Rattus norvegicus: one gene and its partner. The protein of the gene in region 2 purifies or fractionates together with the protein of the main gene of each other region. This does not show direct contact. Links are inferred from orthologs where the notes say so. Each region holds a gene or a part of one and is shown on either strand. Other genes may lie near its edges.

Evidence for each region.
Region 1: the proteins of Kras (region 2) and Hnrnpa1 purify together in Homo sapiens (affinity purification with mass spectrometry; 3 studies listed by BioGRID and IntAct, with this or other methods). This does not show direct contact. The link is inferred for Rattus norvegicus from reciprocal best matches to the Homo sapiens genes KRAS and HNRNPA1.

What each region holds. Positions count from the first base shown.
Region 1 is NC_086025.1:136,252,747-136,257,146, reverse strand, and holds the start of Hnrnpa1 (heterogeneous nuclear ribonucleoprotein A1), read right to left. Parts: upstream 3,030-4,400; 5' UTR 2,989-3,029; coding exon 2,974-2,988; intron 2,930-2,973; exon of another isoform or gene 2,572-2,929; intron 2,432-2,571; coding exon 2,315-2,431; intron 2,059-2,314; coding exon 1,912-2,058; intron 1,741-1,911; coding exon 1,530-1,740; intron 1,444-1,529; coding exon 1,351-1,443; intron 1,264-1,350; coding exon 1,171-1,263; intron 1,024-1,170; coding exon 949-1,023; intron 746-948; coding exon 587-745; intron 68-586; coding exon 1-67. UniProt on the Homo sapiens protein: Involved in the packaging of pre-mRNA into hnRNP particles, transport of poly(A) mRNA from the nucleus to the cytoplasm and modulation of splice site selection.
Region 2 is NC_086022.1:179,929,033-179,932,865, forward strand, and holds part of Kras (GTPase KRas), read right to left. Parts: exon of another isoform or gene 3,361-3,833; coding exon 3,201-3,360; exon of another isoform or gene 1-3,200. UniProt on the Homo sapiens protein: Ras proteins bind GDP/GTP and possess intrinsic GTPase activity. Plays an important role in the regulation of cell proliferation.

The sequences.
Region 1 (4,400 bases), on a different chromosome or scaffold from region 2:
AAATTTGATGACTGGTTGTTGTAATTGCCAAAATCATTGTAGCTTCCACCACCTCCAAAATTGCTTCCTAAAATGGAAAAGTCTTTGATGACTGACAAGCCAATGTGTTTAGGATCCTGAATCAAAGATTATATATACCTTCTGTCAACTTCAAGCCCTTACATTTCATTCTGAGTGAGGCATTCAGTTAATAATCCAACATTTAAAGAAAATCAACCTAACTAATGACAGTTTCTCTCAGTGGCAAGTTAGAATCGAAGGTCTTTGTGTACATATTCTAGGTCAAGACAGACATTTCTTGGATATATCAACTAAATGCCTGAAGTCCCAGCAGAAGGTAGACAATCCAGCTATGTCTCTAACTACCTCATGTGGAAGGAAGACACTAACCACTCATCCACCTACTCATTTTGGGGGAGGCGGCCCCAGCTTAAAGCCAGGAGGAGGTAGCATAGCAAGCCTATTTGCACGCACCATGCAATGTACCTACAATGCTCTAAGAGCCAGCCGTGAAGTCTGAGACGGGCATAAACCCTGGAAGTCTCATCTAGCTCCGCACCAAGTACCTGCGTCACTGGATACCTACCACTACCACCGCCAAAGCCGCCTCCGCCTCCTCCGTTGTTATAGCTGTCATAGCTGCCACTCCCGCCATAGCCACTGCCCTGGTTTCCATAACCCTGTCCACCACTTCCATAGCCTCTGCTTCCTCCAGAGTAACCAGGGCCGCCTCCTCCATAACCACCTACAAGAATACAAGTCTTCTCAATAAGACAAAAGTATTTAACAAGAAAAATCTACGCAAGTTAAATAGCTAAAGGCTGCTCAGGGCATGCATTTTACGGGGCTGACTGAACTTTGTCATGCACTAGGTTTAGTCTCTAGTAGCCTATTCTAAAGGTAGAGGTCGCCAGAAACCACTCCTTACAGACTCCTTAAGAAACTTACCATCATTGCCAAATCCATTATAGCCATCCCCACTGCCACCATATCCACCACCACCACGGCTGCCACCAAAGCCACCTGGAAGAAACCAAAGCTTTAAACCAGGCTTTGTACGTGAATGAATACTTATCAAATATCAAAACCTGTAAGTGCTGGGGACACAGGGTAGCAATTACTAGTTATAAGTTCTAAAACCAACAAGGAGCCAAACAAAGCCATACACACCACGACCACTGAAGTTCCCTCCTCGACCAAAATTGTCATTGCCACCGAAACCACCTCCACGACCACCACCAAAGTTTCCGGAACCACTTCGACCTTAAAAGAAATTTTGGATCATTAGGTTAACCTGTAATAACTAACAGTGTCCTCCTCACCCCAAGTCTAACCAAGCAATAAACACACCTCTCTGGCTGGATGAAGCACTAGCCATCTCTTGTTTCGACAGAGCCTTTCTTACTTCACAGTTGTGGCCATTCACAGTATGGTATTTCTGAACTAAGAGGAAAAATTAAATTCAGGACTTTTAAAAAAACATGTGAACTCCAGAATCATAAAGGAAAATGTAATCCTCTGATACTTACTAACAATCTTATCCACAGAGTCATGGTCATCAAAGGTGACAAACGCAAATCCCCTCTTTTTTCCACTGCCTCTGTCAGTCATAATTTCAATCACTTCAATTTTCCCATACTGCTCAAAATAATCTCGTAGGTGATGTTCTTCAGTGTCTTCTTTAATACCGCCAACAAAGATCTTCTTCACAGTTAAGTGGGCACCTGGTCTCTGAGAATCCTAAAAGGAAAAATGACTCCAGTTATTTAGTAGCAGCACATTCCTAAATGATTGACACCTGTGGTGGCACATGCCTTTAATTTCACTCAGGAGGGAGGATCTCCCAGTTGAGATCTGCCCCATTACAATCTCAGGTTAAAAAAGAACCAGCTATTAGGAAAAACCACTCACTTCTCTTGACACAGCTCTCTTAGGTTCCACAACTCTTCCATCCACCTTGTGTGGTCTTGCATTCATGGCAGCATCCACTTCCTCCACAGTGGCATATGTGACAAACCCAAAGCCTCTGGATCTTTTGGTGTTTGGATCTCTCATTACCTGTTTAGAGTTAATTCAATCAACACAGTGCCTGATCACAAAGCCAAAAAGTCATTCCTAGTCAGAGCGCTGCAAACATGAAACTCCATCCAGAGTCAGAAAATAAAAAGCTCTTTTACAGATCTTGTTAGCAAAGCTCCACAACGATGATTTTTAGTATCCCATTAATTAACTTCACAAAACATTTAGCTAAGAAGCGTCAAGGTTAAATCAGAAGAAATAAGGCAGCTCTTCCTTTTGTTTTTTTAAATCTTACCACACAGTCGGTGAGTGTTCCCCATTGCTCAAAATGGCTCCTCAGACTCTCGTCGGTTGTTTCGAAGCTCAGCCCTCCAATGAAGAGCTTCCGCAGCTGTTCCGGTTCCTTGGGGGACTAAAATAAAGTGGGGGAAAGAGGGGGCTTAGTGGAGGGCCTGAAACTTGGGCGAATGAATCAACACCATTCATCAACACACGCCACACTTTTTTATTGTTCTTTATTACTGCACAAGACCACGTGCTCCTTCCTGGGCTTGACTGGGGACTCGAGTTGCACGCGGCGCATGCGTCCTGTTACTTCATACGCAGGCGCAACAAAAGACACAGGTTGGTCTGGTCCATCGCCATTAAGACTTAGTATCTCTTTAACAAGAGATCATTAGACCAGATAGGGAAAAACGAAAAAAAGGCCACAAACCCCAGATCGTTAAGTGTAAGAATTCTGCCAAAAGGAACAGTGCGTAGAAACTAATGGCTGTCGGATCGCAGCCTCATGGTGACTATGAGGACAAAATGGCGACCTGCATTTTTTAAAGTAGGCCTCAGCAGTAATCGATCAAACACCGAAAGCACGGGAGCCAGCGACAAAACAGGTCACATCCCGTCATATTCAGTAAGTGTGGAAGAAAGCGAAGCTGCAGAGCGCGCTCAACTCACCTCTGACTTAGACATGACGGTAGGATGATGAGAGCGTTCAGCGATGCTTCCTCGCCAGCGTCAAAGAGCAGAAAGGAATAAGATAGCGAACGTGTCCGGCAGCCTACCTTCTGCTCTCCCTTTTATCCCGCCTCCTCGCTTTCGGCATTGGTAGACTCCGCCCTTGCTTCAGTCTTATTGGAGATTTGAAATTGTTCCCTCCCACCATTGGCCTGTAAAAACGCCCTGCTAAGAAACGGCATCCGTTTGGGCGTTCTACTCAGTCCCCGCCCCTTTGAGTCATTGACGCCCCAAGGGATCTTATTCTTAACCACATTGATTGGCTAGCTAGCCAGTAATTTATATTTGAATGTACTCACGTCTTTAAATGTGTTTTATACCTTCCCCACACCCGAATGTTACAAACTCACTCGGCAAAGGACGATACGTTAGAAAGTAGTTCGCCGCGACTTTTCCCAGCTATAAAGCGCATGTGTAATAAAAATGGCGAGTTTACGCCGGCGCAGTACGAAGTTCCGCCTGCTGTCTGGAACACGTGAAATGGCGGGCGGGAGAGGGATACGAGGTTCGTAGGCGCCTGCGTAGTGGAGGGACCTGTGTTCTGTTTTGCGCAGGCGTTTTGGGCGGAGAAAAGGTCCAAGCCCGGGATTGGTTGCGCAGGCGCAGGGAAGGATCCGTTTTGGCGGGCGGTTGGCATTGCGCAGAAGGCGGCGGTAGCGGTGGCTTGTGGTGCCGCTTTGCCACAGAGGAACCGTGCAGGCCTTAGTGTGAGTGATCACTTTAGATCCCGGGTAAGTGGCAGAGTCTTGTCTACCCGTACGAGATCTTGAACCTGCTCCAATTGCACCGGTTATTGTACGAAATGAATGGACCGCTGAACTGGGGGGGGGGGGGAGACGACGGTGAAGGGGCCGCGACGGGTCGGGCCAGCCAATAGGACAACTGGGGCGGGATGTTTTATCCTTGCAGGTTCGGTGAAGCTGCGTTGCCGAAGCGTTTGACTGGCGAGTGTATAGGCCAATTGGGTCTTCCTATAGCTGCCTACCAACCGGTCCTTGGGCCATCGGAATGTGGGAGGCGGGTTTTTCTTGCCTGAGTTGCGTCTCTCCGAGCCAATGAACCCCAAGCGCGCCATAGGCCGGCCTTCCCCAAGAGGCAGAGGCTGGACTCCAGTGGGGAGCGCGGGAGTCGGTAGGTTAAATTCATATAGAGCAAACCTGGAGCCAGTAGGACAGACTACTCTCAAAAAATAAAGCTTAGTCTTGCATTTGTGGGGGCGAACATTTAACTAAAATGACTCCTATAATTAAGGCATTCATTCCGTATATTACCTTAAGGAAAACATATGTTTTCTTGTACTTTTTGGTACAAAAAGTTTCACCCTTCACTTAGACTCTAGAGGACGTGCCTTTATTCTTTGGAAAGAA
Region 2 (3,833 bases):
TATCCTTTAAAGGAGTAACACACTGAAAGGACTAAAGGACAAAAAAACCAGCTCAGCTCAGTACAGTACCACACATCTGGAGTCCAGGGACTGAGGAAGGAGGACCACTTGAGCACATGAGCTCCAGAATAGTCTGGGCAACACAGCAAGACCCTGTTTCAAAGTGGGCAAAAAGCATGTGGGTGTGCACATGTGTTCACACACACATGCTCACACCCACACCCACACATTCTATTAATCATTATATAGTGGCAAGGTAATATGCATTTAAAATTAGCAAAAATGTACTGATAAAAATATGTATTCTATAACCTATATCTTAAAAATAGAATATAACTTCTTTCATTAAATATATGAATTTAGCTTTAAAATGGTAAAATCAGCCTGTTGTAGGTCGAAGGTCTTGTGCATCTACTGGAGTCTCATCGGTTGCCTTCTATAAAGGTTGAGACTAGCACACTACAACCTAAAGGCCAAATACGGGCAGGGTCAACTGCTCTGGTATTAGCTGACAAGCAGTTTTAATTTTCAAGGCTTTTTTGGGAAAATAATGTTTAAGATACCACTTTGCTCTCTGGGTCTCTGTAGAAAATGCTTGCCATGCCCTGACTTGTATCACAGAACTTCTCAGTGAAATGTTCAGTTCCTACCACCATAAATACAAGTCTGTGGTGCTTTTGTTAGGCTGGAAAAACAACAAAATTTCAAGCAGACAAATACATTAAGGACGGGTATATGTAGCTAAAATAACAAATAAGCAGGGCTGGAGAGTTGGCTCAGAGGTTAAGAGCACTGACTGCTCTTGCAGAGGTTCTGAGTTCAAATCCCGGAAACCACATGGTGGCTCACAACCATCTGGGATCTGATGTCCTCTTCTGGTGTGTCTGAAGACAGCGACAATGTACTCACATACATGAAATACACACACACACACACACACACACACACACACACACACACACACACACAAATAAGCAAATAAAAGACAGTAACAAAATACTCCCCAAAAGGAGCTCCAAATCTTCCCCAAAATTGAAGGTAAAATTTATTAAAATGTACCTTGGATATTATAAATTACCAAAATTATTTGGAGTAGCTCTTTAAAATCTTCCAAAACTTTAAAATATTAAATTATTTTTAAGAACTATTAATGATTTTTCAAAGCAAATTAATTTCTAAAACAAGTCTAGTGAAAAGTGAGCATTCAAGTTATAGTTAGGCAATATATTGTATAAAAAAATCCATAAATTACGAATAAATACAAGAAGGGCTAAGCACGGCTTAAGAAGTGTCTGTATATCTTAACTCTATACATGTTAGACAACTTACACTATCTAAAAACCAAATTTAAGTTCATCTATTTCTATACCGTATGCCTTTAACCTGACAAAATGAACTGGGCATGGTGGCATATGCCTGTAATCCCAACACATGGGAGGTAGAGGCGAGAGTTCAAGGCCAGCCTCTACTACATAGTAAGTCTGAGATTTGCCTGGGCTGTCTCTGTCAAAACACAAAAACCAAACATAAACAAAGCAAAACAAATTTTTAAATTTCTAAATTTTTAAAGGTGTTGGTAGTATGTGTGTCACAAAACACTGTTTTTTTTGGTTTTTTGGTTTTTTTTTTGGTTCTTTTTTTCGGAGCTGGGGACCGAACCCAGGGCCTTGCGCTTCCTAGGTAAGCGCTCTACCACTGAGCTAAATCCCCAGCCCCACAAAACACTGTTAAAGCTAGAAAGCTATTTTAAAAGGAGAGGAGGTAGTGTTCTAAATCAATAATGAACTACAGTATACCAAAGCATTAATGTCAAACACAAATAATAAATTAAATTTAAGCTATTTAAGAGCTATTTAAGGCTCTTACCAAATGAAAGGTGGAGAGCAACCCAGAGATGATAAGCCAAGAGACTCCTTTCACTGTGCTCTATGGCTTCTACTCAAACTGTGGCCCAACTCTCCAACCAGCACCACCCGACAATGCAAAGGAATGCGCAACATGGGCTTCAACACAAACACAATGTCTGGACTTTGACTTTAATAAGGTCAGCTGATTTGTGTGCATATTCTAGTCCAAGAGGCCCTTTCTTCTGTGTTTACAGCCAGCCCAGTCTCGGGCTTTTCCTTTTCTCCATGAAATGTCAACTATGATTGATGTTCACTAGTATGAAAGGTGCCTTTGCAAGTTTAAACAATTGAAGGAGTAAAGTATTAATGGTAAAATCTATACAGTATGTTTTCAATAAAATTCCTTACATTGAATTATTTCATAGGAGGACTTAGGGAAAAGTTACAGATATTATAATTATATGTTCTGGGCTGCTTCTAAATAAAATCAAGAAGACTTGGAAATAGAACATAGAAACAAACCTCTCGTGCCTTTGGACTGCGGGATGGACTTGGATAAAATAGCTCCCTACCCTGAAGCCGAGTGATGCACACCAAGTCTCTAGAAACTAAGTAAACTGTGAGCCAACTGGCACGCAGGAGATACCCACAGACAGTCAGACTACAGAAACTCACTTTTTAAGAATATCTAGTTGCTTTCTAAATATTCCCTTACTTTAATCACAACTTTCTCCCTGAAGAATAGACCCTCAAAAACTTTCCGCCAAAAAATAATTCTTCAAATACAACTCAACAAATCCTAAAAACTGCTTCTAAAACAGGAAAGTCAAACTTTATTCCATCATTCTGTCTTTATCATTTCAGTGGGAAAAAATTTCCACATTTCTTGAATCCTAAATGTAAAATGTACTCTAGGCAGAAGAAACAATTTCAAAATGAAAAGAAAACGGAATACCAGGCATAGTGGAGGACATCTGTCATCCCAGCACCTGCAAGACAGACTTAGGGGACTGAGAGTACAACCCCAGGCTGGGTACAGAGACCATTGCAACCCCTACCATCTATCTACACCCCCCTCTCTCCTGTGCACACATGGGGGGTGGGGGGATCCAAAGTAATATTGTGGTTCCTAGATAAGAAGTACTATCTACTTGAGAAGACATTTGCCAAATAAACATTATTTTCTATGTTAGAATAATAGAAAGACTGGAGAATCACATGAAATGAGGAACATGTAACAATAGTTATGGTGGCAAGTAGACCCCAATGACACCATTTGGAAATGGAGAACAGTGGTGAGCATCATTTGGAGCACCCGGCAGAGTAGACGCACATCTCTCCGGTGGCACTCACCTGTCTTGTCTTCGCTGAGGTCTCAATGAATGGAATCCCATAACTCCTTGCTAACTCCTGAGCCTGTTTCGTGTCTACTGTTCTAGAAGGCAAGTCACACTTATTCCCTACTAGGACCATAGGCACATCTTCAGAGTCCTTTACTCTTTTAATTTGTTCTCTGGGGAAGAAACAAATGGAAGCAGAAGCATAAGTAACACAAAAATACTTCAAACTTTGACCTCAACTTCATCTTACAAAACTGTATTGAATCGTTTCTTCATATGAATCCTAGTTTCTACCCTACCAAAATGTCCTCATTTCTCTTATTTTCCCTCTAAAACAAAAACCTTACATATCTGTTTGTTCATATGCATATATAAAATAAGAAATATACTAAAGTTTCAAATCAAAATGTTTAAAATATCTTACAAACAAGATATATATACATAAATGTGTATGTATACAGTTGAAAATATTTTCATCCAACAGATATGGTGGCTCAGGCCTTCAATCCCAGCATTAGGGAGGCAGAGGCAGAAGGAGCACTGTGAATTCCAGTCCAGTCTGGATAGTGAGTTCCTCGCAAGCCGAAGCTACATAGTAAACCCTACCTCAAGGAAAAACTGTGTTTTCACCCCAACATGAATTAAT